Pelodiscus sinensis: one gene and its partners. The protein of the gene in region 2 binds, or shares a complex with, the protein of the main gene of each other region. Links are inferred from orthologs where the notes say so. Each region holds a gene or a part of one and is shown on either strand. Other genes may lie near its edges.

Region 1 (8,012 bases), on a different chromosome or scaffold from region 2:
AATGGGCTTAAACTGCAACAAGGGAGGTTTAGGTTGGAAATTAGGAAACACTTCCTAACCATCAGGGTGATTAAACAGTGGAATAAATTGCCTAGGGAAGTTGTAAAATCTCCATCTCTGGAGATATTTAAGATCAGGTTAGATAAACATCTATCAGGGATGGTCTAGATGGTGGTTGGTCCTGCCATAAGGGCAGAGGTCTTGACTCAATGACCTCAAGGCCCCTTCCAGTTCTAGTGTTCTATGATGCTATGGTTCTAACAGGCCTGGCTCTGGGGGAGGGGAGAGCACATAGGGCTCCGCACACTAGTTCTGCACTCCCATTGGTGGGGAACCTTTTGCTGGCTGCTTCTGAGCTGCAGCATGGTCTGAAGTGGCAGGAAAGGCAGGAAGCCTGCCTGAGCACCCCCACTGCACCACTGATAGGAAACTGCTCAAATTAAGCCCCTCCTGCCACAGTCCTGACACCCCCAAAGCTGGAGCCCCCTCCTACACTTTAAAGCTCTCATCCTCAGCCCCTCTGGAGCCCATACTCTAGTCAAATTATGTTGGGTTGTGGGTATCAACGATTTTCCTCAACCTCCAAGGCACATCCAGATGTGTGCCACTAGTAGAAAAACATGCTGCCAACTGTGAGGACTCTGCTAACCAGCTGGGTGGCATGTGAATCTCTCCTGGATGGACACCTGAGAACTTAGCTTACAGGGAACAATGGCAGGCTCTGGCTGGGATCCACTTATCTGGATCTGCAAGACTAGATTCCATTTACTTCTACAGATTGCTTAAATTCAGTTACTCTATGACATGGTTCCCAAACTGGGGGGGCGTCTCCCCCTGGGAGGGGGGGGTGAAGAAATTCAAGGGGTGGCATGAGGGCCCCCTCAAGTTTTGCTGCTATTTTTGTTTCTCATCCCCTATCAGTTCCTTCCCCCGCCCCCCCAACAAGTTTTGCTGCTATTTTTGGAGGGGGAGTGAAGGTTCCTCAAAAATCAAAAAGGGGGCATGATGCTAAAAAGTTTGGGAACCACTGCTCTAGGACATATCTAATGCATACACCAAGTATCCAAAAATGTTAAGAGACAAACATTTTAATATGAAATCAAAAGCTTTTTTCGTTTAACTATCTGTTTTTCTAAAAAAAGCTTTAGAATATATACACACACGATACTTACTGCAATGTTTACTGTCTGCTTCTTTCTCAACTTTTTGGGGTCTATCTGTGCCACAACAACATCTGGACATTGTGCTGCTTCAATCCTTCAAACAGAAATAAAAGGTTATATTTGAAATCCCTGAGCTGTATCCTGTAAAACCAGAAACAGTCACAGGTTGAGTTTTCATGAAGAGATACTGACCAAATTCAAAACACATGCACAATTCTTAAGTTATCAATGAGAATCTATCAAAGAAAGAAATGTTAAAAGCAAAAATATTTATTTGGAAGGGTTTTAAAACGTTTTATGAGTTTACAATGTAGACTACGAATGGTTGATAAGTGCCCCCATTTTACAGATACACAGGAGCGGCCTGAGGCAGGCTGCGGCAGCTGTTGCCCCAGGCGGAATGTGTGATTGGCGCCCCTGCCTACAGGGCTGTCAATGGACTGACGTCATCATCAGCCACCCCACTGAAGGCGGCGCCCTAGGCAATAGCTGAGTCCGCCTATAGTCACGGGCCACCCCTGCAGATACAAAACTGCTTAAAGTGAGCCCATGTGTGAGACAGCCATAAAAAAAATCCAGGGCTTCTGATTTCCAGTTTTGTGCTTTAGTTACAAGACCACTTTCCATCATAATCATAAGTAAAGATCACTATAATTTGCAGTTGTAGTTGGTAAAATAACATTCTGTGCAAAGCAATTTGTACCGACTACACCACTAGTCGATGAGGACCGCTATGCAGAACCACAGCAGGGGTAGCTCCAGAAGATGGTTCGAGCAAGGAGTGAGCAGTCCCGGCTCTTGCCATCTCTGGGAGCCACCCACGCTGCAGCTCTGCATTTTAAATATAGTAAGAGATGCAGGGCTGGGCTCTTTCTACATTTCAAATTTAGAGGTGCAGCGTCCCAGACCAACGCAAGCAAGAACTGCACCATCCCGGCTCATGCTGAGTTCAGCAGGGCAAATTGTATCGACTACAAGATTAGTTAGATAACCACAGTTTAACATCCTTAGACGTTAGAGACAAGGCAGCTAAAGGGTTTGGTAAATGGGTTAGGCATAGACGCAGAACCTGGCTCTCTCAATTCCCTGAACAGCACTTATTTCTTAAGGATATCAAGGCCACACTGCACTGTAAACCTGAGCTCAATTAGGACTCACAGGACCCCGGTGCTAGGACCGGCAGGTCTGAGCCGGAGCCCTAGTGCCATTCAGGACCAACCCCTATGATTGTGCACAAGAGCTACAGCTCAAGCCTAGGTCTGCAAAGGTCTGATCAGGGGCCGTACCCAGGTCCAGGGCGGACCCACAGGCGGGATCTGGAAACAGAGGAGACCCAGGCTGACAGAGCAAGGAAGGGGGCGGGGCGGCCCACAAGCGGGGTCTGGGGTCAGCCCCGCAGCTCGCTCAGCGCCCGAGAGCTGCCCGGCCGCGGCTCAGCTCCCCGCGCCCCGGCGGGCTCACAGGCCGCGCTGCCCTGGAGGGGAGCCCCAGCGGACCCTTCCCCCACTTACTGGACCCGCTTTAAATACTCCTGGGGCGTCCGCGGGGGCAGCGAGGGGTCGAAATCCTCCGTGAGGTCACAGTCCCCCACCGGCAGGAGCCGGGGCATCAGCTCCTCCGCCGCAGACTCCATCTCCGCGCGACGGCCCGTGCTGCCCGGGGGCCTCGCAGAGCGCAGGCGCGTGGAAGGACGCCGCTGACTTGCAAGCGCCGTTCGCGGCAGCGGTAGGAGACAACGCATGCGCACTGCATGTTTCCCCCCTGGCAGCTGGGCAGGCTGCCCATTCTGACGGCCGGGGTAGAGCAGCGCGCTGCCTTCCTTAGGGCTCCATGAAGTCTTGTCTGTATGCGTCTGGGCCCTTTCACCCCACGGTCCTGAGCTGAAGCGTCCCTTTGGAGCCTCCAGAGACCATCCGGTTGCATCATGTGGTCCTGGCCCCAGGCTGTAGCAGGCCCGCTGACTCCCGTGGCAACAATGATCGTGCCCAGGGTCATCTGCTGCCAGGAAGTGTATCATTTAGGATCATGACCAAAGCATGGCGTAAAAGGGCGTATTCCCTTTTAAACAGCATCGTGCCTTATTTTCCATATGCTCTTGGGACAAACGGAGGGCATTGTGATTTATTGCAAGTCACAGCTGCAGGACACAAGTCTCATCCCTTCACCCCCAGCGTGCAGAGACAGTGGCCATCTGCCCAGCTGCACCGTCCCGAGGAGCCCCTTCTAGCGCATGCTCATCCCCCCCCCTTTTCCCCAGAGGCTGGATCCTTTCCATAAACTACATCTAATTCAGCGCTCTGGCCACAGGCCCCAGAGCCTCTGCCCACCGATGGTTTAACAGCCCCTGCAGAACAGGGACAGTCTGCCCTTGTGTACCCTGAGGTGGCAGCTGTGGGTGGGTCCAACAGGGCAGGGTGGGAGCAGTCACTGTTGGTCCATCTTCTCTGGCTGCAGGGATGCAGTGAAAGCCTAGAACTCCTCTGGGTAGAAGCGCTTATACGCACTGATCTTGCTCTTGATCTGCTTGGGTGTGTCCTGGTAGTAGTTCTTCTCATCACGGGCCATTGCCTTATAGTTCGTCCTGGTTCCGTATCATGTGCTGCACATAGTCAATCAGGTCTCTGGAAAAAAACCTTTTTCAAAAGAATCCGTATTCCTCATTTTTTCAGGAATACGGGTTATTTTGAAAAAGGGTTTTTTTTCCCCCAAAGGATCCCGTCTAGGCTGCGCTTTCACTTTTGAAAAACCCTTTCTTGAAAAAGTGCTTGGATGCAAATATGCAAATGAAGTGCAGGATATTTAAATCCACGCTTCATTTGCACTTTCAATTTGCTTCATTTACATTCCTCTTTCGAAAAAGGAATGTAGTCTAGACATAGCCTGAGTTTGCTGTCACTATGGCCAATAAATGGCAAAATGAAATGTAACAGTTGGCCAACAGATTTATGTCTCATCATTGCCTTTAGGGGGACTGATGTGTCAAAGTGGAATGATGGATTGGGATTGGAGTAGAGAGTAAGAAGTTTCTACACCATCTTGGCCCCTATGAGAAAACCTCTTGAAGGGCTAACCTTTGGCTTAACATACAGAAACAACAAGCAATATTATATATACCAAACACACTTGTGCCCAGATAGTTCTGTGACGTTAATCTACAAATGGCAGAGCAATTAAATCATCAAAACTCCACTAAATCTAGATAGCTCTTTAATAATAATTTTAAAAGATCAAGGCAGTGTTCTCTAACCTAAATATCAGCATTAGCAAGTATTTTTTTCAACACCAGTGCTTAAGATTCAATCTTTCTCCATTTAAGTCAATAGAGGTTAGTAATTCTTTTTTTATTTCCAACCTGTCTCATCTAGCCGTTCTCCTTTGCTTTCTGCAGAAGGAAAGATAAGTGTAATTAGGAGGCTGATAGGAACTGGACTCTTAGGGCATGTCTACACAGCAGGGCTAAAGTTGAATTAAGCTACGCAACTTCAACTGTGTCAATTGCGTAGCTTAAGTCAAAATAGCTTAATTCGGCTTTTGGCACTGTCTACACAGCAGGAAGTCAAAGGAAGAACACTCTTCCTTCAACTTCCCTTATTTCTTGTGAAATGAGGGTTACCATGAGTCGGAGTAAGAAGTCCTCTAGCTTGACATTATTTCAAAATAAAGGCTTGTAGTGTAGATGCACACTATGTTATTTCAGAATAACACCAGTTATTCCGAAATAATGCTGCTGTGTTAGACATACTCTTTTAGACAGGGATCCATTGCCAGTGTTTTGGGCCATGTCTCAGAGAAATAAACTAACTTTACTACATCTTAAGACCAGTTGTTTTAGTTGAGGCAGCTGTTTTATTTTCTCCATCAAGTGAGAATACATTTCAGACAAAAGATGACACACGCACAGGATATCCTAAATGAAGACTAAGTGGTATTTAGAAAACAACAACATACGTTATAGAGAACTTACATAAAACTTTCCCAGTTCTCTGTGTCAAATGAGAATAATGCTACTTCCCTTCTCTGTAAGGGTCCTTGAGATCTATGGCTAAAAAGCTCTGCACTATTTAAATAAATAAAATAATAATAATAATAATTAATAACTCTAGGCAATGATACAAATAGCTTATGTACTTATTCCTGAAGAGTCAGTGCAAGGATTTTTAAATTTTACAGCACTTAGGTTGTTTCTTAGCTACAATAAATGCCCTATCTGAAAGGCACTTTTGGTTGTTTTTTCTATATTTTAGCAGTTCTGAACAAGCAATGACTTTCAGCTTTCCTCTCCATTCATTTTTATTTGCTTTTAAGGTGTTTCTCATAATTATTTATGTGTAACAGGCAGCTTTACTCTAAAACCAGGATGTAACTTCCTATTAGTGCACGTGACAAGTTTGAACATTGTCTGAAATAAAACCAGCTTAATCAAAACTACATTGGATTTCAGGAGAGTTTGACACAGTGGAAAAGATAAATCCTTAACTTTGTCAAAATGTAAATGGATTTTTTGAAAATATTCATATTTTAAGATCTATGACTTTACTTGGTGTGAAGACAAGAATTATAAAAACAAAGAGAACCAGGGACTTTGATGCAGCAAGCGTAAATGTATGCAACTTTTTAGTGATCTAGATTTTTTTTTCCCTAAACATTTCTAATACTGCTTTTTGAAGCAGAATAATATTATTTGAATTAACTACTTACTTTTAAACTTACTGTTACAGGAAACACTGGTGGATTTCCAAGGTCTATTAAGAGTATCAAGTAACAAGATTTAATAATGGAATTCATGAAATATCTGACAGAGCTCTATATGATTCAGTGGAGGAAGAAAAGAAAACAGCCAGAGCTGAATATTCTCTCTCTTTATCAATTGCCCTGGAGTTACAAAGGAGTAATTTCTTGAAGAAGAGGTGAGTTGCCACCCGTGGATGTGAACTGATGATTCAAAAAACTAACAAGTGAATCTGTAACATATTGCAATAAGGTAAGAAAAGCAAAGTGGAATTACTATGTATAGTAACACCAGGGGATAACAGATAAGAGATTTTCTGACTGTTGTTTTTGGACTCGTTTATCATTCCAATATGTATCTATGTGTTCATCCAAGTACTTTTGCTTCTCTCTAAGGTCCCCATCACTACAAAATCTGTGCATCTTCCTGAAGTGCTATTCAGGGTACAAGAAATGTGGGATTGAGGCCTTATAAAATATTTTTTTACAGTGACTGGTAACAAAAATATTTCATACTTCTTATCCTCAATGGGTTTTCACTATATTGTACCCTCCTGATTTTCCTCCTTCATCTCTGACCATTTTTCAGTGATTGTTGTCAAGTGCTCCTCTCTGATGAGGTTTACAGGGCTACGCCGGGGCTCTGTCCTTGACCCTCATTTCTTTTCTCTTTACACTGTTTCTTTGGGCAATCACTATAACATCTGAGTACTCTCAGAAACCATAATATTAAGGGAATTTTTCATCTGGTTTAACAGCATCTGACAACCAACTATTTGGGGCTCCAACCATTTTTTTTTGCATGATGGGGTATCTACACAGTGCATACTCTCAACTCACACCTCAATATTTCTTCCAACTGATAGTGGAATTAGAGTGTGTGGAGGAACTCAGAATTTCTCCATTTAGGAAACATGGGACCCTGTTTTGGTCTGCAAGCTCTTTTAAGATATGAAGTCAGCCCAGTCATTCAGACCATAAGATGGATAGTATTGAAAATAGTAGTTGTACAGGATTTCACAGCTAAAATACAAATAATAGATATAATGATGTTATGGTCACTGATATTGTTTCACTGATTCTAGGCGGTTATTATCATGTGACACGTTTTCAGATTCTCTGAGAAAAAATGCAAGCAAGATGATAGTGTTTTGCTCCCCACAATGAATAAAATTACTCAGAAAAGACCACAGCTTTTTAAATCCTTTCTCTCAGACTTGTTGGATAAAACCATTCTGGTGTGGTAACATTGCTTTGTAAATTTAATCACCAGTTCTTGGAAGAAAATAAAAACGGATACAGTAGCTTGTAGCCTAAACAAAAACTCTGATACATTGAGGGCTAAACGCTATTGTTGCTTGCTAAAGTATGTTGGAAAAATTGCATTTGAAAAGGGCAGCCCATAGCCACGCAGGGTCCCTGAGCAAATTGTGGAGGGACCAGCTCCATGCTTCTAGAAAGGGGTGGGCAAGGCCCTTAGTGCCTCCCAGACAATGGTCCCCTCCCTCAATGCTGTCTGGAGTGTGCTATGCAGTGCTCCCTCTTCCTCAGGCAGCCCTATGCCACCCAGAGCATGCTGCGTGTCACTCTGGCAGTGATTTAAATGTCTCTGGGGTTTGGGCATTGCCACTGCCACAGCATCAATGGCAGCAGCTGGGAGCTTCGGGTCCTTTTGAATCTCAGGGCCAGAGGACAGTTGCCCCCTTTTCTCTCCCCTCTCCCAATGGGCAGGCCTACATTTAAATGAATTCATTTAGGAACATAATCATAGAATCACAGAACTTGAAGAAACCTTGAAAAATCATCTAGTACAGTCATCTGCACTGATGGCAGAAGGACTAAGTATTATTTAAACCATCCCTGACAGATGTCTCTCTAATCTGCTCTTAAAAATCTCCAATGATGGAGATTCCCCAGTCTCCCTAGGCAATTTATTCCTGTGCTTAACCATGCTGTAAAGGACTTTTTCCTTATTTCTAACCTAGATCTCTCTTGCTGCAATTTATTTCCCTTTTTATTGTTGGGCACTATATTTACCCTTTTCCAGTTTTCTAGAATCTTTCCCATATTCCATAACTTTTCAAAGATAATGGCTAATGGCTCAGATATCTCATCAATCAG
Region 2 (7,602 bases):
GTTTGACAGAGTTTTGTTTTGAACATGTGCTGGATATTGCCCTAATCTGCCTTCTCAAGGGAGAGTGTCCAGGACCCTTTTGAGCTAGGAGGAAGCTAACTGTGGAAAGCTGTCACCCAATCAAACAATCGCAATAGTTCCCCTCAAGCCCCTTCATGTCGCCCTTGTCACTAGGATCAGTGCACCGTGTCCAGGCTGCAGCATCACTTTCATGTGGCGGGAGTGAAGCCAATCACTTTTAATGGTTTGTCAGTTAAGTCTGAATTATTGGTAACGGTTTAATAGATGCCCTAACCAATGCCTGGCCTATTCTGAAACTGAATGAGCCTCTACGCTGCTTGCAGTCTCTAATTGCCGCCTGCTGTACCCGCCTGCAAAGTGAAGCCAGGAGAGATTCAACCCGCCCCCTTTGTTCAGGTGAGTTACAGCCTGGGTGCTGCATGTGATGACCTCATAATGCTGAGGAATGCCTGGCTCAGTCCATCCCTGAAGGGGTGTGGGTGGGGGGGGTAAATCCCTTGTCCAGCTCTGCCAGGACGTGCTGCCAGATGCTTGAAAAGCTCTGCCTGGATGGAAATGCTTCAAACGCCACCCCACTCATGCGAACGGGCTGGGAAGATGCATTGACCACGCACAAAGCTACAGGCTCTGAGAGACGCACATGATCTGACTCTAACGTGATCTCACTCACTTTTGGTCTCACATGGTTGGATGTCAGCCAGTCAATGCACACAGCCCTGGGGGAAATTACAGAGCCGTGGTCTGCTGCCTAGATGCCCAAGCCATGAACAATGGCCCCGAGCAAGTCCCTATTTCAGACAGACGGCTGCTGTTTATGAACTTGGGCTTTGCCTACAGTGAAGTGTGGCTCCTGCTCTCTCCAGTTACACAGATTATAAAATGAACGCCCCCCCCCCCATGAAAAGCTCTCCCAGGGTGGTGATCCAATGCAAACGGCAACTGCTCACTGTTCTATATATTGTTATAGAGCCTGCTCATTCATATTGTCTGTGGTCCGATCCTCAAAGGCCTTTTAAGTGCCCAACTCCCCTTGACACCAAGGGGAATTAGGTGCCTTTTGAGGATCTGGGCCTCAATGCGTGCCAGTCGTGCCCAAAGTGACTGTTTGCCGTGTCTATTCTTTCCTCATCTCAGCGGCGGCAGTCGGGGATTCAGTGACTTGGGTTTTGTGTGGTTTTTTTAAACGATGTATGAGATGCCAACTTGCTATGTATCTGCTACAAAAGAAATACAGCTTGCACTTGAGGCAGAAGATGGGGGGGCTTGGCATGGCCCTTAGTAGGTGGGTTTATTCCACAACCAGGACTGGCCCACAAGACAGCTCTGTCTCCTGCAGTAGATGAGTTTCAGCTCCTGGGAAGGAGACCCCTTATATCTGAAGAGGCGAAGTAGCCAACTGCTGTCTTCCTCCCAACCCAAATTCCCTGCTGCTGTAAAGTGACTGACACTGTGGTTCTGCCCTCTTACAGCAGATGTGCTGCATGTGCAAATGGTGCATGGAAGGTTTCCCGTGTTACATACTTGGAACTGATCTTGTGTTGGATTTAGCAGTGCAAGTACCAGCAAATGGCAGCTTGGGCAGTGCAGAATTCCTCTGTCTTGCTCCCGGACCTCATCATTCTAATGACATTGTGATCTTGACGTAGCAATTAACACAAAATGAGGAGTGGGAGCTGCTGACCTCTCAGTGAGCCCCAAACATCCGATTTTTATTTGCACGTGTGTAGGAACAAACCCCCCCTTGCCTCCCCCGACCCTGGCACTCGTGGGAGAGGAACAGAACAGTTTCTAAAGCAAAGGTTTGCCATGGAGTGGCTTTGCGTGAGCTTGCCCAACGGCTGTGCTTCCTTAGGAACTGAGCATCAGCACAGAACCTGAAGCACTGAAAGTTTAAAAGAAAATTAAAGTGGAGAGGGAGAGATTGTGTCCGGATCACTCCTGGCCTATTCTGGATTAACGGCTGCCCGCTATTTGACCTTGTAAAGGCTGACGGAGGGGTCAGAGTTAAGCTCAAAGCCTGCAGCGTGTCTTCTCCACATCCCAGGGTTACGTATGTTGTTGGAGGGATTCTGGCAATGTGATTTCTTGTTGGTCTGATTTCTCCAAGCCCGTGTTAGTAATGGAGAAACTGTCCAGTATGCTGTAAACTGCACACAAACCAGTCCAAGTTACTTTATGTACCATGCGCTTGAGCAGCACTTGTAACTACAGTAAGTGCAACATTGTCAGACTGTACTGTGATTTTTTCCAAGGGAGGGTATGCCTTTAAGCAAATACACAGGCTTGTTAAAATAAGCCTCTTAAATATTGCTAGGAGTTACCAGGAATCGTAAACAATGACTGGACTAGCCTTAGCCCGAACTAAACTTCCACCTTGTAGAGACTCTCAAAGGCTGCACGCTACGCACAATTTGTCAGTCATATCCACTCTGTTGTTTACTAGAGTTTTATTGGCTTAGCAGCGACATGAGCTACATTGCTCTGAGGATGAGAGGAAACTCCCTAGCAGCAACGTGGGGTCAAAAGACCTTCTAATGGCACGTGGCTGCATGAATGTGTAATTTTACACTCCGTATTTTTTTTTCAGCTCTTCAGCTTTTGCAATATAATTCATGGCATCAGCCATGCTTATCCCCTTGTGTGCATTCCCGGCCTCCCATTTGGCTTTGCCTATTAAATCGGTTGCACAAGGGCAAGGGATGTTGATGTCCCTGATTGTGGCTTGTTTGCAGAGACTGGAAATCTCCAGTTTATCTTGGTCTGAGATTGGGTCCTTAATTTGCCTGAGCAGAGCAGCAGCTTTCTCAAATTCCACCTGAGACATGGTGAGAGCTCGGAGTCAGGCCTGCTCCTTCCTTCCCCTGTGGAGGGCTTGCCAGGACTCGCAACGGCTGACCCAGGCCACGACCATTGGAATGAAGGAGAGTTGCAACAGGGGAGGAAGGCTTTGAAGTGCCCCCTTGAAAGACAGTTCAGCTGCCTTTAGCAGGAGCAATACGATTTTCAAAAGGCCTTAAAATTAAATCCCAAGTGTAGAGGAGTTAGCAGGTTTTTTACAGACAGTTCTTCTTGGGGCTATCATTACTTTCCCCTTGGGAGACAGGCTCTTGGTGTCTTTCTATATGGCTGTTGTCTGCTAGGAGGAAGGTAACCCTGTGCGTCTATATTGGCAATTTTCCTAGGAAATAAAGCACTGTTGCCTGTTATGCCATTTGGGCTACGTCTAGATTGCATCCCTTTTTCGTAAAAGAGATGCAAATTAGACGTATCGCAATTGCTAATGAAGCAGGGATTTAAATCTCCCCCGCTTCATTAGCATAAAAATGGCTGCCGCTTTTTTCGGCACGGAGCTTTGCCGGAAAAAAGCGCCAGTCTAGACGCAGATCTTTTGGAAAATAAAGCCTTTTCCGAAAAATCTCTTATCCCTCTTAAAATAAGCGATAAGGGATCTTTCGGAAAAGGCTTTATTTTCCGAAAGATCCGCGTCTAGACTGGCGCTTTTTTCCGGCAAAGCTCTGTGCCAAAAAAAAGCAGCAGCCATTTTTATGCTAATGAAGCGGGGGAGATTTAAATCCCTGCTTCATTAGCAATTGCGATACGTCTAATTTGCATCCCTTTTACAAAAAGAACTGCTTAAAGAACTGCTTCCTAGAGTCCTGATTATCTCACATACTCAGTTTTCAAGTAAGAGGGGTAGAAAAATGTTACGTTTCTATTCCTGGTCATGGCAGAGAAGAACCTGAGCATGTGACTCTTCATGAAAAAGCTGGAAGCTACAGGAAAATAACTCCAATATTTCTTATTAAAAGTTATTTTTTATGGGGCCTGACTCAAGAATTTGGAAAATAGCCACAAACAAAACCCTACCGTGAATTTTTGTGCTTGGAATGAGTCAGTTACATGTAAACAGTTGTGAGTTATGCTGGGGAGCTACTCCACCCCTTTTGTGCTATACTCAAATAGGTATTTACAAAGTGCCCCGCCACTGCTGTATGCAGCTAAGCAATGCAAACTTTTCTATTGGTTGAAGTACTTCTCTGTCCCAAGGGCTACCTGCTAGTCGGCTTGTTAGCTAGTAGGTTGAAGTTAAGTTCCTTAAGAGGCCTGGTGCTGGGCTGTCCCCAGGCTCGCTGCAGCTAAAAGATCATGGCCCCGTATCTCCTAAAACCGAGCTGTTTCTACTCTCAGATGCCGCAAATTCAGCCCAAAACGTTTGAACCACCGGGTGTTAGGGGGGGTGGCTCCTCCCTTTTCTCTTTGTTAAAAATGAGGATGCTCTTTTAGATGGTGGGAGGGGATCTCTGACTCCCAGCAGCAGGGTGCTCCTATCCCTCGGGGTGAGGGAATCGGAAGGGTCCTTGTGGACCACAAAGGGGCAAATCCCCCCTAGAAGGGAGCAGCGAGGCATCTCCCTGCCCAGGGCCCACGCGGGGCAGGTCCCTGCGGGGCGGGGGGAGCCTGCCAGTGTCTCGGTGCGGGCAGCAGGGGGAGCCAGCGGGACCCCAGCCCGGGAGCCAGGCAGAAGCGGGGGTGGGGGAGCTGCCGCCCGGGCAGCGCCCTGCGATCTGCTGCGTGCGGGGGCTGGTGCCTGCGGGGGGCGCGGCCACGTGGGTCGCAGGCGGCAGGTCGGGAGCGTCACAGAGCCGGGCGTGCCGGGCTCACGGGCACCGCCAGCGCGCAGCCGGCCCGGCCGGGCCATGGAGCTAGGTGGGTGCGGGGCCGCCCCGGGGGGGGGGACACACGCGGGGCTGGGGGCGGGAGCCGGGGCTGCAGCGAGCGGCCGGGGCGGCGCCTGCAACCTGCCTTAGCCGCCTGCTCGGCGCCGCTGCCCAGGAACCCCCCCCCCCGCTCGGGCCTAGGCAGCCTGCTCCGCGTGCGCCCCCCCCCCAAAAAACTCGCTTCTAAGGGCGGCTAATCCCAGCCCCCCCCCCCCAACCGCTGGGCTGAGCTCGGCCGGCAGCTGTTTCCACTTGGGGCGCTGCCAGATCCCTCGTGGCTCCCGCTAGAATCCCCCCCAGCTTCACTCCCCCTCCTGCAGGAGCTGCCTGCCTGCCTGCGATGCCCTTTGGGGTGAACAGTCAACCTGTGGAACTCCTTGCCAGAGGAGGCTGTGAAGGGTAGGACTGGAACAGTTTTAAAAGGAGCTAGATACATTCGTGGAGGTTGGGTCCATAAAAGGCTTTTCGCCGGGGTAGGAATGGTGCCCCTGGCTTCTGTTTGTCAGAGGCTGGAGAAGGATGGCAGGAGACAAATCGCTTGATCGTTGTCTTCAGTCCACCCCTTCTGGGGCACCTGGTGCTGGCCACTGTCGGCAGACAGGATACTGGGCTAGATGGACCTTTGGTCTGACCCAGGACGGCCGTTCTTATGTTCTGGGAGCAGGCAACGGAAAGACCCAGAGAGTCGCAAACAGGCACCCGCACCCTGCAGGGAAACCCCATGTGCGTGGGAAAACCCGGGCCAGGCCCCTTGGGCTGGGCGCTGGATTGGCAGAAGCATTTCCAGGGTGATTGGTGCAGCTCGGCTTTTCAGCATGTTAGCCCCCCGACTCCTGGGTTTGACTTCCCTGGACGCAGGCCGAGCTTTTCCTCTGTGGTGGGCAGGGTGGCTGCCGGGGGGTCCTGGGCGCAGCTCCCCTTTTAGGCTGTGTGAAACCCCACCGTGCGGGTGAGTCTGTGACACGGCTTATCCCGCCTGTGCGCCTCGCCCATGAGGGTTGCTCCCCGGCCCGGAGGGAGCCGCTCTCGGAAGAGGTGCCGAGTGGGCTCCAAGTCTCCCCGTTCTGCACTGAGGTACAACACCCAAGCCAAGGAGACAGCGGCTTTAGGAAACGGCTCCCTTGGTCCTTCCTCCATCCCCTCCTGCACCTTTCCCCTCCGTAGCCGTGCAGGGAGTTTCACAGGTTCAGACCTCAGCTCACACCAGCCCTTCCTCTTCTGGGCGGACAGAAACTAGGGATGTGAAAGGTTAACGGGTAAGCCTTAATGCAGCCAAGCCTTAATGGGTGAGGCTTACTGGTTCCAGTTAACTGGTTGGACTGGAGCAGCTCCCCACCCACTGTGGGCAAGGAGCTGCTCCAATCCCACAGGGCCCACCGTGATCAGGGGCACTCCGGCTTGGCCTCCTGCCCCCTCCTTTAATCAGTTAACCAGTTAAACGCTACATTTAACCGGTTAACCAATTAAATGGGATTTTACATCCCTAGTAGAAACCTTGGGTTCTCCGTGTGAGAGAGAAAAATGGCAGAGAGGGATGTGATGGTCTTAGAAACCAGCCCCCTGTTTGCACCAATCCCGTGGTACGCTTTGTAAGAGATGTCCCCACCCCCAGCTGGCGGGTGGGTGTTGGTACCCATTGCCCCAGGCCTGCCTGCGTTTCAGGGCTGTATAATTTGTGAAGTGCTTTGGGATTCCAGGGTCTATGCGCAAACAGGCTGATATTACAGTCCTCGGCTAGGAAGTATCCTCTTCCCTACGAGCTACTGCTGCATCTGCCTGTGGGTGTGGGTGTAACCCTCTTCCCCGCTGCTCAAGCCCTGTGCTAGCCCAGGCGCTACCGCGACGTGAGAGCTAACTGTTCTGTGTCGTGGGTGTGTCTTGTTCTCTTTGGAGTTCAGCGCAGTTGCACTCTCTCTCTCATCCCAAGAGCGGGGAACTTGGTGCATTAAGGGTTGTTTTTCCCCTGTAAAAGGGAAGGTTGAATCTTTTAGTTCCTTGGAGCATGGGCTGTAACAATTCATTAACGTTCCTCAGTATTAGTTGAAGTGAACTATTTGGGTTATAGCAGAACCTTGTGCTAGGCGCAGCGTGTACGCATAAGAGACGGTGCCCGCTCCAAAGAGCATAAGAACGGCCAAAGGTCCATCTAGCCCAGTGTCCTGTCTGCTGACAGTGGCCGATGCCAGGTGCAGAGGGAATTAACAGAACAGTAATCATCAAGTGATCCCTCCCCTGTCATCCATTTCCAGCCCCTGACACACAGAGGCCAGGGACACCATCCTTACCCATCCAGGCTGATAAGTATTGATGGACCTAACCCTCCATGAATGTATCTAGTTCTTTTTTGAAACCTTTTTAAAGTCCTGGTCTTCACAACATCCTCTAGCAAGGAGTTCCACAGATGGACGGTGTGCGGTATGAAGAAAAAAGCTTGCAGTCTAAGGAGATGAAACAGGATGTATTGCTAGCCCCATTTTATAGACTGACTAGCTTAAGATCAAACAAGGAGGATATAGTAGAGCACTGAATCCAGATCTTCTGAGGCCAGTCTAATCACAAGAACAGCCTTCCTTTCAGGGTTAATTGCCTTCATGACTCTGTGTGTGTGTCCTTCTCTTTCAACAGGACCCTTGAACATCTGTGAGGAAACAGCCGTTCTGCATGGCGGTTTCCTGCTAGCTGCGAAGTTGTATCATCCTAAAGCGTTGACCGAGTTGGCCAAATCTGACTGGTCCTTGGTCGGGCCGCCCATAACGGATGCCTTGAAGGAGATATGCACCAGGTGTTCCTCTCCCCCAGCCCAACCCAATGCGTGGAAGAAGAAAGCTGTTATCATCATCTGGGCCAAAATCCTGCTCCCCTG
Region 3 (7,850 bases), on a different chromosome or scaffold from region 2:
CACTGCTCAAGAGGCTGAGAAACAGCAGAGAAGGAAAGAAACTGTGTAGTATTCCAGTCAGCAATTGTGCCCTGTCTCTCCAAGCAACCACCTGTTACACATGTGGAAAAACCTATAAGCCATAGATTGGACTCTGCAGTCATTTTAAGTCCAGTCAATTACTTTTTTCCCCTGGCAGACATCATCCTCAAGTCAAGGGACAGCTGATAATGACAATTAACTACTATTACTGTACTTGAATAAAATACCCAAACCCTCAGTTTCTAAATTTTCCAGGTACACATCTGTAACTAATGGTTTATTAAAGGGTAAACACATAAAACAGCAATTGTTTTAAAACCACAATTCAGAAAAACCACCACCACAAGATGAAATCACAACAGTTGAAATTTCAATGTTAATCATTACTTACGCTGTAAAATCTGCAGCTGCTGTAGCTGCTTTAGTGGCATCCTTATTCAGAGTGGCACCCCAGACAGCACCTTTATGACCTAGAAATGTTCCAATCCAGTCTCCTGTGTCACCCTGGCGTAACATAGGTTTACCATCTAGGCAAAAAACAGATAAATTTTCAGACAGAACAGTTTTATTTTACTTAACAGCAAGCATAGTCCATGTACACTATTCTAGAAAAAAAAAAGAAAATACCAGTGCACTCTGACAATAAAAATGTGACATACTTTTAATGCAATATATTTTGTTACCAATTTAATAAACATGGATCTTTAATTCTGTATCTGTACAAATAAGGACTACTTCTTGCTATGTACAGCTAACAAAGTGGTACCATGATTTTGGCTGGGGCTTTTAGACACTACTGCAATACAAATAATACAGTTTTTCTGTGTTTCAGTTCCTTCAAAAATCAGCCATTTTCTTTCACAGTACATTTGTTTTAGTTTAACTATATTAGAACCTGTTTTTGATGCCAACACTAGTTGCACAACATTTCACTTTAAAATTGTCTTATACATAGATTACTTTTCAGATATATATGGCAGTTGTTTAAAACTAAAGATCTAGAAAGATTATTGCAGAAAAAATACAACCCGGACTAAATAAAAGATCCAGGAGTACTGTCAAAAAAGGAGGGAAGAGAGGAGTATAAATAAATAAAATGTGCATGTATTTGGTGGGAGGTTGGCATCTTTATTTTTGCAAGAGAGCCCTGCTGAAACAGGATATGAGCATGAGGAAAAAACAATTCGGTGCTGCTAATGTACAGCTATATGAGCACTCTATGTCCAATTTATTGCCAGTTAATTTATTTGAAAAATATCTCACTTTATAATCCATCCACCATAGGAGTTGAAGGAGGCTAGGCTCACAGTAACTTGGGGAACTGTATATTCACCTGATGACAATGCCTAATTTTAGAATTTAAAAAATTCACTAGCCAAATGTTTAAGTCTCTAACCCTTAAGATTATGATAAGAACTGTTAAGATGTGAACTGAACACAACTCAGCCAGATAATGGAGTAATGACACACTGAGTATGCAGACAATCTAAGGCAATTTATGCAGTTTCAGCATTCTTTCCAACTTGCTAACACTTTAACCTGAGGTGGTTCCAAAATATCAGTAACTGGCAGGTATTTCACTGCAGACCTAAGCGTACCTGGATAAGGTTTACAACTACATAACAAACAGCTATGCAACCTGAGCTCACACTTATTGGGAATGGAGTGTGACACAATATAATCAAAAAACAGGACTATGTAGCACTTTAAAGACTAACAAGGTGGTTTATTAGGTGATGAGCTTTCATGGGCCAGATCCACTTCCTCAGATCAAATAGTGGAAGAAAACTGTCACAACCATATACACTAAAGGATACAATTTAAAAAAAATGAACACATATCTCTCTCCCCCCCCCCCCCCAGACTGAATTCTGGGGCTGCCTCCATCCAAGATGGGTTACTCCAACATCCATCCCAGGGACAGTACAAGGCATCAGTCAAGTTTTTAACTCGCATGCGAGGATTAGGATTTAAGGCAGTGGCAGGCAGGCAAGAAATGTTCTAGGGGATGAATCCAGCCAACAAAGCCTTTCAAACTGGGCTGCAGCCCATCCCACTGGACCCATAGGCAGGGAGCAGCCCCATGGTTCAGAGCAAGCTGGCTGCTTCATCTACCCTTCTGTGCTGTTGTGGGAGGAGTGGGTACTTTGTCCACTACAAACACCCCTCCTTCACCCAAACTCCTTCTCAGACCCCACGCCCTCTCCTGCACCTCAATCCCCTGCCCTGGAATGTGCTTCTGCACCCAACCTCCATCCTAAACCCCCACCCCTTCTGTAGAAGAGCTTGGCCCTTGACCACTTACCAAAATTTTGGAGTGGCCCCCCTCATCAAAAATCATCGCCCTGGTTTACGGTGTTGGGGTGTCCCCCAGGTCACCTGCCTGCCCGTGCCCACAGCGCAGGGCAACCCAACTAGAGCAAAGGAAGGGGGGAGCGTCTCCTGCGCCAGTTTCGGGGCTCAGGCAGCCCGAGGGAGGCCGCGCACAGACCTGGGAGCAGATCAGAGACAAGCGGCCCCGGGGCAGCGTCGGTTGGTTCCCGGCCAGAGGATGGATTTGCCCCCCCCCCCCGCGCTGACTAAAGCCAGGAGCGCGCTGCCGCCAGCACACACCCCCCCCCCCCACGCACCCGCCCCCGCGCTCACCCTTGCAGGCGCTGATGAGGAAGAAGCCGTAGGGGGTGATGTCGCTGAAGGCCAAGTCCACCACGGGCCGCGTGTGCCCGGAGCACGTCAGCGGGGTCTGCCTCATGGCCATGGCGGCGGCGGCGGCGGCGGCTCCGGGCAGGTTGAGGGAGGGCGGGCGGCGCGCGTGGGACGGGCGGGAGGAGGGCGGCGCGCGACAGGCACAGGCCGGGCCCACGAGCTAGGCCGGGCAGAAGGAATGGGAACCAATGGCGGCGGAACTGACGACACGCCGGAAGTGGGAGCCCGTCGCCGGAAGTGATGCGTGCCAAGGGCGGAAGGGAGGCGAACGCTCACCGTTTGTGCCCCTCCGATCTTTCCGCAAGTGACGAGCCTCTGTGTTATCCCCGCGCGCCCCCTAGCGGGTCGGAGCAGTCGCCGCTCCTTCCGCCCCTCCCCGAGGCGAGCCTAGGCATCGGGGGGAGCGCTGCGGGGTTACCGTAATGCACCGACTAGCAGGCGAATGGAGCGGGGCCGCTCCTGGTTGAAGGCAGGCGGGGTAAAGGCAGCGCCAGGCTGCTGCGACTCCCACCCAGCAGCTGCCTCCGCCCCTGTCCCGAGCCAGGGGGCAAAGCCAGATGGGGGGGGGGGGAGCAGGATGTGGGGTCAGATGCCCGGGGAGCAAGTGCCAGTGGCTGTGCCCCTGCAGGCAGCCGGGCTGGGGACTGTGCTGGGTTACACCAGTCATCACTGCCCGGGCACTGAGTGCTGGCCGGGGGTGTAAATCTAGCACAGGTGGGTGGGGCATGAGCAGGAGGCAGGAGCTGGCAAGCCATGGCTAGGGATGTTAAATAGCGTGTAATTGAATCGTCATGTAACCACGTCACATCTTAGACGTTACAAAACTATTCTATGATCCATGGTGGCGGAGCGACAGCCAGTGCACTCCTGGCCCCACTCCTGGGGAGCCCCCTGCCATCCTGCACTGCTGCCTTTCTATCAGCATGGTGACAGGCAGGTTTAAAAGCCAGCTCCTCTCGTGGAGTGGCTGCCTTCCACCGCGCACTACTGCCCGTGATACAGGGGCACCAGCGTGAGATGGTAGCAGCCCCTGTCTGCGGGTTGTGATCTCTCCGCAAAGAGCAGTCCCTGTTCACAGGGAGCTTGGAACTCCATGGGCGGGGCTGCTGTCTAGGCTTATTGGTTAATTGCGTAGTCCTCTAACCGTTGACATCCCTACTAATTGCAGAGCCCAGCAGACGCACCCCATTGTCTCCTTGCTTCTTAGTAGAAGCCTCTAGTGTGAGGTAGCAAATCTCATCCCCTTGGACAGGTTTGACTGAGTTTTCTGATGTCTCCATCAAACCCACTGCGGGAGGAGTCAGGACTGAAGTGAATTTCTAAGTTCAGTAGCTCTAGAATCAGACTCATTCTGTGACTATCTCTGGAGATTACAGTGGCCTCCTATCCCATTGTTAGGGTTTATGTCATGTGCGGCCTGATCAGCACACAGCTGCAGCTCATGTGACTTGCTCAGGGCTAAATATAAGTAATTAATTATATATATATATATATATATAATGTGAATGCATCCTAGGTGTCACAGAGCTCTACATACATAGCCCACAGTGTTAAATCAGTTGAGACCCGCTTATCTAGAGAGACATGGTGAATGAGAATGAAAGTGACATATTTAGTTTGCATTGTTCTCAGTTTATATATTTCTGTAGTAAGGAGACAAGATTTTTAAAGTCCAGCATTCAAACACTTCTGTGTATTCCCATCACAGGGAATATGGGCTGTCTTTGGTGCTTTTCTTGTGAAGAGCTTTTAGAATTGGAGAATATTTATCTCTGGCTTTCTGTCTTACTGGAACTCTAAATCTTTTCCTATCCAGCACTATCTTTTGCCTCTACTTTTCTCTCTCCCATAACCACATGCCTTTAAAAAATTAGCTTGGTCCATGTACTGTGTTGACTCTCAGCACAGCACTTTCCCACTGACATGTAGATTCATGGGAATGTGAGAGGGACTTGGATGGAAACTAATTAGATAGAGGAGACTAGATATCTAGCTGTTTATACTTAAAACAGGACAAAACATCTTTTGCTTTCATACTATGTGGGAATCTGTGCTGTTCAGAGGGCTTAATTTCAGTATTAAAAATTAAGACATTCATGTTCTATCTTCTAGATCAGGGCTATTCAACTTTGGAAGCACTGGGGACTACAATGATACTCACAGCGCATGCGGAGGGCCACAGCTTAAGTGTGGTTGCATATAAAGCTAGTGCATATAGGGGAGGGATAGCTCAGTGGTTTGAGCACAGGCCTACTATCTCAATAGTTGTGAGGTCAATCCTTGAAGGGGCCATTTAGGAATCTGTAGCAAGTCTGTCAAGGATGGTACTTGGTCCTGTCATGAGAGCAGGGGACTGGATTTGATGACCTCTCAAGGTCCCTTCCAGCTCTGTGAGATAGGTATATCTCCAGATATTATTATACAGCCTCTCACCGAGTTACGAACGAGTTACAGACCAAACATTTGGCCGTAACTCGATCTGTTCATAACTCAGATCCCCATTGAGTTACATAGTGACTGTGCTGTTTGTAAGCGCAGGTTGCGTTCATAACTCAGGAACTGCCTTTACGACTGCTCCATGGGAGCTTTGGTTGTAAATGCAAATGGTTGTGTTGTAACTTGAATGTTCGCAACTCGGGGACCAGCTGTATATGCAAAGAGCTTCTTACATACTGATAGGCATGAATACAAAGCCCTTCCCACAATGCCCCAGTACTCCTGGAACCTCCTCCCTGGGAGCTAGAAATGCCAACACCCTGTATCCTTCTGTTCCAGCCAGCCCGTCTGCTGCCATCTTTCAATGCTCACCCCGCCTGGGAGCTGCCTCGCCATTGTGGAGCGTGTTCCTAGTGGAGGCCATATTCAAGGGATCCCACCTGTGAGTTGCGTTGCATATTGAGCCCCGTGAAGGGGTGGCCTATCCATATAGGTGAACTAGGAAGTTGCCTGGGGCACCAAGTTAAATGGGTCTCCAAATGATGGCACAATATCATTGAGGGGTTTGGGTTTGGAGGTGGGGGCGCCGATTGCATGGTTCACCTAGGGCGCCAATTGCTGGCAGCTAGTTTAGGACCACCCCTGGCTCCATGTAAACCCAAACTGCACCCCAGGCTGCAAACAAAGGGCCGTGTGTTGAGTAGCCCTGTTTTAGATTATATTTTAGAGTGCCTGTGGTTTCTCAGCTATAAGTGGTATATCCCAATTTAATTTAAATGTATTCAGTTATTTCGTTTAGGTAGAAGAAAGTTTATACATTACTCATGCTTCTTTAGCTGCTTAATTGTTACCTGGTAAATTTAACTTGTTTTGTTAGGTCTGGGAACAATGCATTTTAATTAAAAGCCAGATTTTTAATTAATTATTTTTTAATTTAAAAAGCCCTTTTGTAATTGTCACGGAAGACTGATACAAACTGAAAAAAAAAATCCAAGGTCAAAGCTGAATCTAAAGACACTGGAACACTTGAAGTTAAAGCACCAATGACATTACAGACAAGCTGTGCACAGAAATGTATGGCTTCAATGGTCCCACAGGTTTTATTAATTTTCTTTAATTTTGGACTACAGTTAACCCTCTGCACAAAGCAACAATATGATCTCTAATTGGGGAGATATAAAACTGTTATGATAGAGAAAGGCATAAATATCTGGAACATGATGAAATGCAGATGAAAACTGTGGAGATGTCAAGTTTATTACATTCAGACTATATTAAAATCTCACCCGGCCAGAAAAAATAACCCTGTAACTGCTTGTCTCAAAACCAGAAAATATATCCATAAAAATTCAGCTGTTGGTGCTTTATATAGATCCTACCATTAATTCTATAAACCAGGGGTTTCCATGTGCTGCAGAAGCCTGAACATGTTATTAAAGACCATGACGGTCGTTGCTAAGAGCCTTATCTGCAAGACCTTACTATCAAAGGCCATGAGTTAGCCTATTTTCTGCAGTAGCTGCACTTGGTGCTAAGCATTTTTAGGACTGGACTTTATAACTTCAGATAAACCAAATAGATATGAACAACTGAAAAAAGGATTCAAGCTATATGGATCCTAAATTATGTTCAGCATTACTTTAGTGGGTCCTGATAAAATAGGCTATGGAAGACTATCTTCCAAAAACTGTCTGACTTTTGTCTACTCACTGAAGCCATTTACATTTCTGGCCACTGAAACTTTTACAGCAGGAGGACAGCTTATGTTGAAATAGCACTGTTCTCCCAAGCAGATTTCGTATTGTTTCATGTGATTGAGAAATAGATAGCAATGTATAAACCATAGACAGGAATAACTTTATATGCCTCTGAAACAAGCTACATCATTGTGAAATGCAGCAGCACTTTAATGGTAGCTCACTGCAAGTGAGCAATATTGTATTTAAAGAGAGGTGGGTTTTTGACATGCATAAAATTATCCTAGTTTGGGACACCACATTTAACACCAAAAGAATTCTTATAGAAATCACAACACAATCTTTAATGCCCACGCAGCCAGCCAGGTCCTCAGTTTGAGAGTATGTCTATACTACAAATGCTAAAACAATGAAAGATGTTTTTCTATTGCTGGAGTAAATCAACCCTCTTAATAGGCGACATTGATGGATGAATTTTACACTTAACCTAGCAGTGTCTGCTCTGAGCCTTAGCTTGAGTTAACTACATCCCAAGAAGCAGTGAGTTTTTCACACCCCTGGGTAACATAGCTAGGTTAACCTAAGATTTAAGTGTAGATCAGACCTTGTATCTCATCTGAGCTATTGTAGTACCAGCAGTACAGTGCCTCTTAATGTAGTATTTATTTACTACTGATATAAAACACATGCCTAAGTACTATAGAGACAAATGAAATCATAATAAAAAACTGTATCCTGTGTTTGCCTGCCACTTGGAGAACTCCCATCTAAATAGTAACAGGCCTAACTTATGCTAGTCCTAAAAAATAGAGGAAGCATGGAAGAGGAGAAGGTTAGGAAAAGCAGAGTAGGATTACTTATGTAGGTTACAATTGTTAAGCATAGCATAGAAAATAAAACTGGGTAATTAAAAAAATTAGGAGTTGTATCAAACTCTGACAAATAAACTCACTGGTAGAATAGCCTTATAACTCACAGTTACTTTATTCT

Evidence for each region. The genes of interacting proteins can lie anywhere in the genome.
Region 1: GEMIN4 (region 2) and GEMIN2 share a complex: the UniProt entries of both Homo sapiens proteins name them as parts of the SMN-Sm complex. The link is inferred for Pelodiscus sinensis from reciprocal best matches to the Homo sapiens genes GEMIN4 and GEMIN2.
Region 3: GEMIN4 (region 2) and STRAP share a complex: the UniProt entries of both Homo sapiens proteins name them as parts of the SMN-Sm complex. The link is inferred for Pelodiscus sinensis from reciprocal best matches to the Homo sapiens genes GEMIN4 and STRAP.

Annotation. Positions count from the first base shown.
Region 1 is NC_134714.1:45,327,897-45,335,908, forward strand, and holds the start of GEMIN2 (gem-associated protein 2), read right to left. Parts: upstream 3,049-8,012; 5' UTR 2,905-3,048; coding exon 2,675-2,904; intron 1,258-2,674; coding exon 1,173-1,257; intron 1-1,172. UniProt on the Homo sapiens protein: The SMN complex catalyzes the assembly of small nuclear ribonucleoproteins (snRNPs), the building blocks of the spliceosome, and thereby plays an important role in the splicing of cellular pre-mRNAs.
Region 2 is NC_134731.1:4,455,298-4,462,899, forward strand, and holds the start of GEMIN4 (gem-associated protein 4), read left to right. Parts: upstream 1-4,534; 5' UTR 4,535-4,718; coding exon 4,719-4,728; intron 4,729-7,364; coding exon 7,365-7,602. Other genes in the region: GLOD4 (glyoxalase domain-containing protein 4), read left to right, coding at 345-446; diazepam-binding inhibitor-like 5, read right to left, coding at 2,585-2,845. UniProt on the Homo sapiens protein: The SMN complex catalyzes the assembly of small nuclear ribonucleoproteins (snRNPs), the building blocks of the spliceosome, and thereby plays an important role in the splicing of cellular pre-mRNAs.
Region 3 is NC_134711.1:112,442,434-112,450,283, reverse strand, and holds the start of STRAP (serine-threonine kinase receptor-associated protein), read right to left. Parts: upstream 3,049-7,850; 5' UTR 2,780-3,048; coding exon 2,668-2,779; intron 549-2,667; coding exon 413-548; intron 1-412. UniProt on the Homo sapiens protein: The SMN complex catalyzes the assembly of small nuclear ribonucleoproteins (snRNPs), the building blocks of the spliceosome, and thereby plays an important role in the splicing of cellular pre-mRNAs.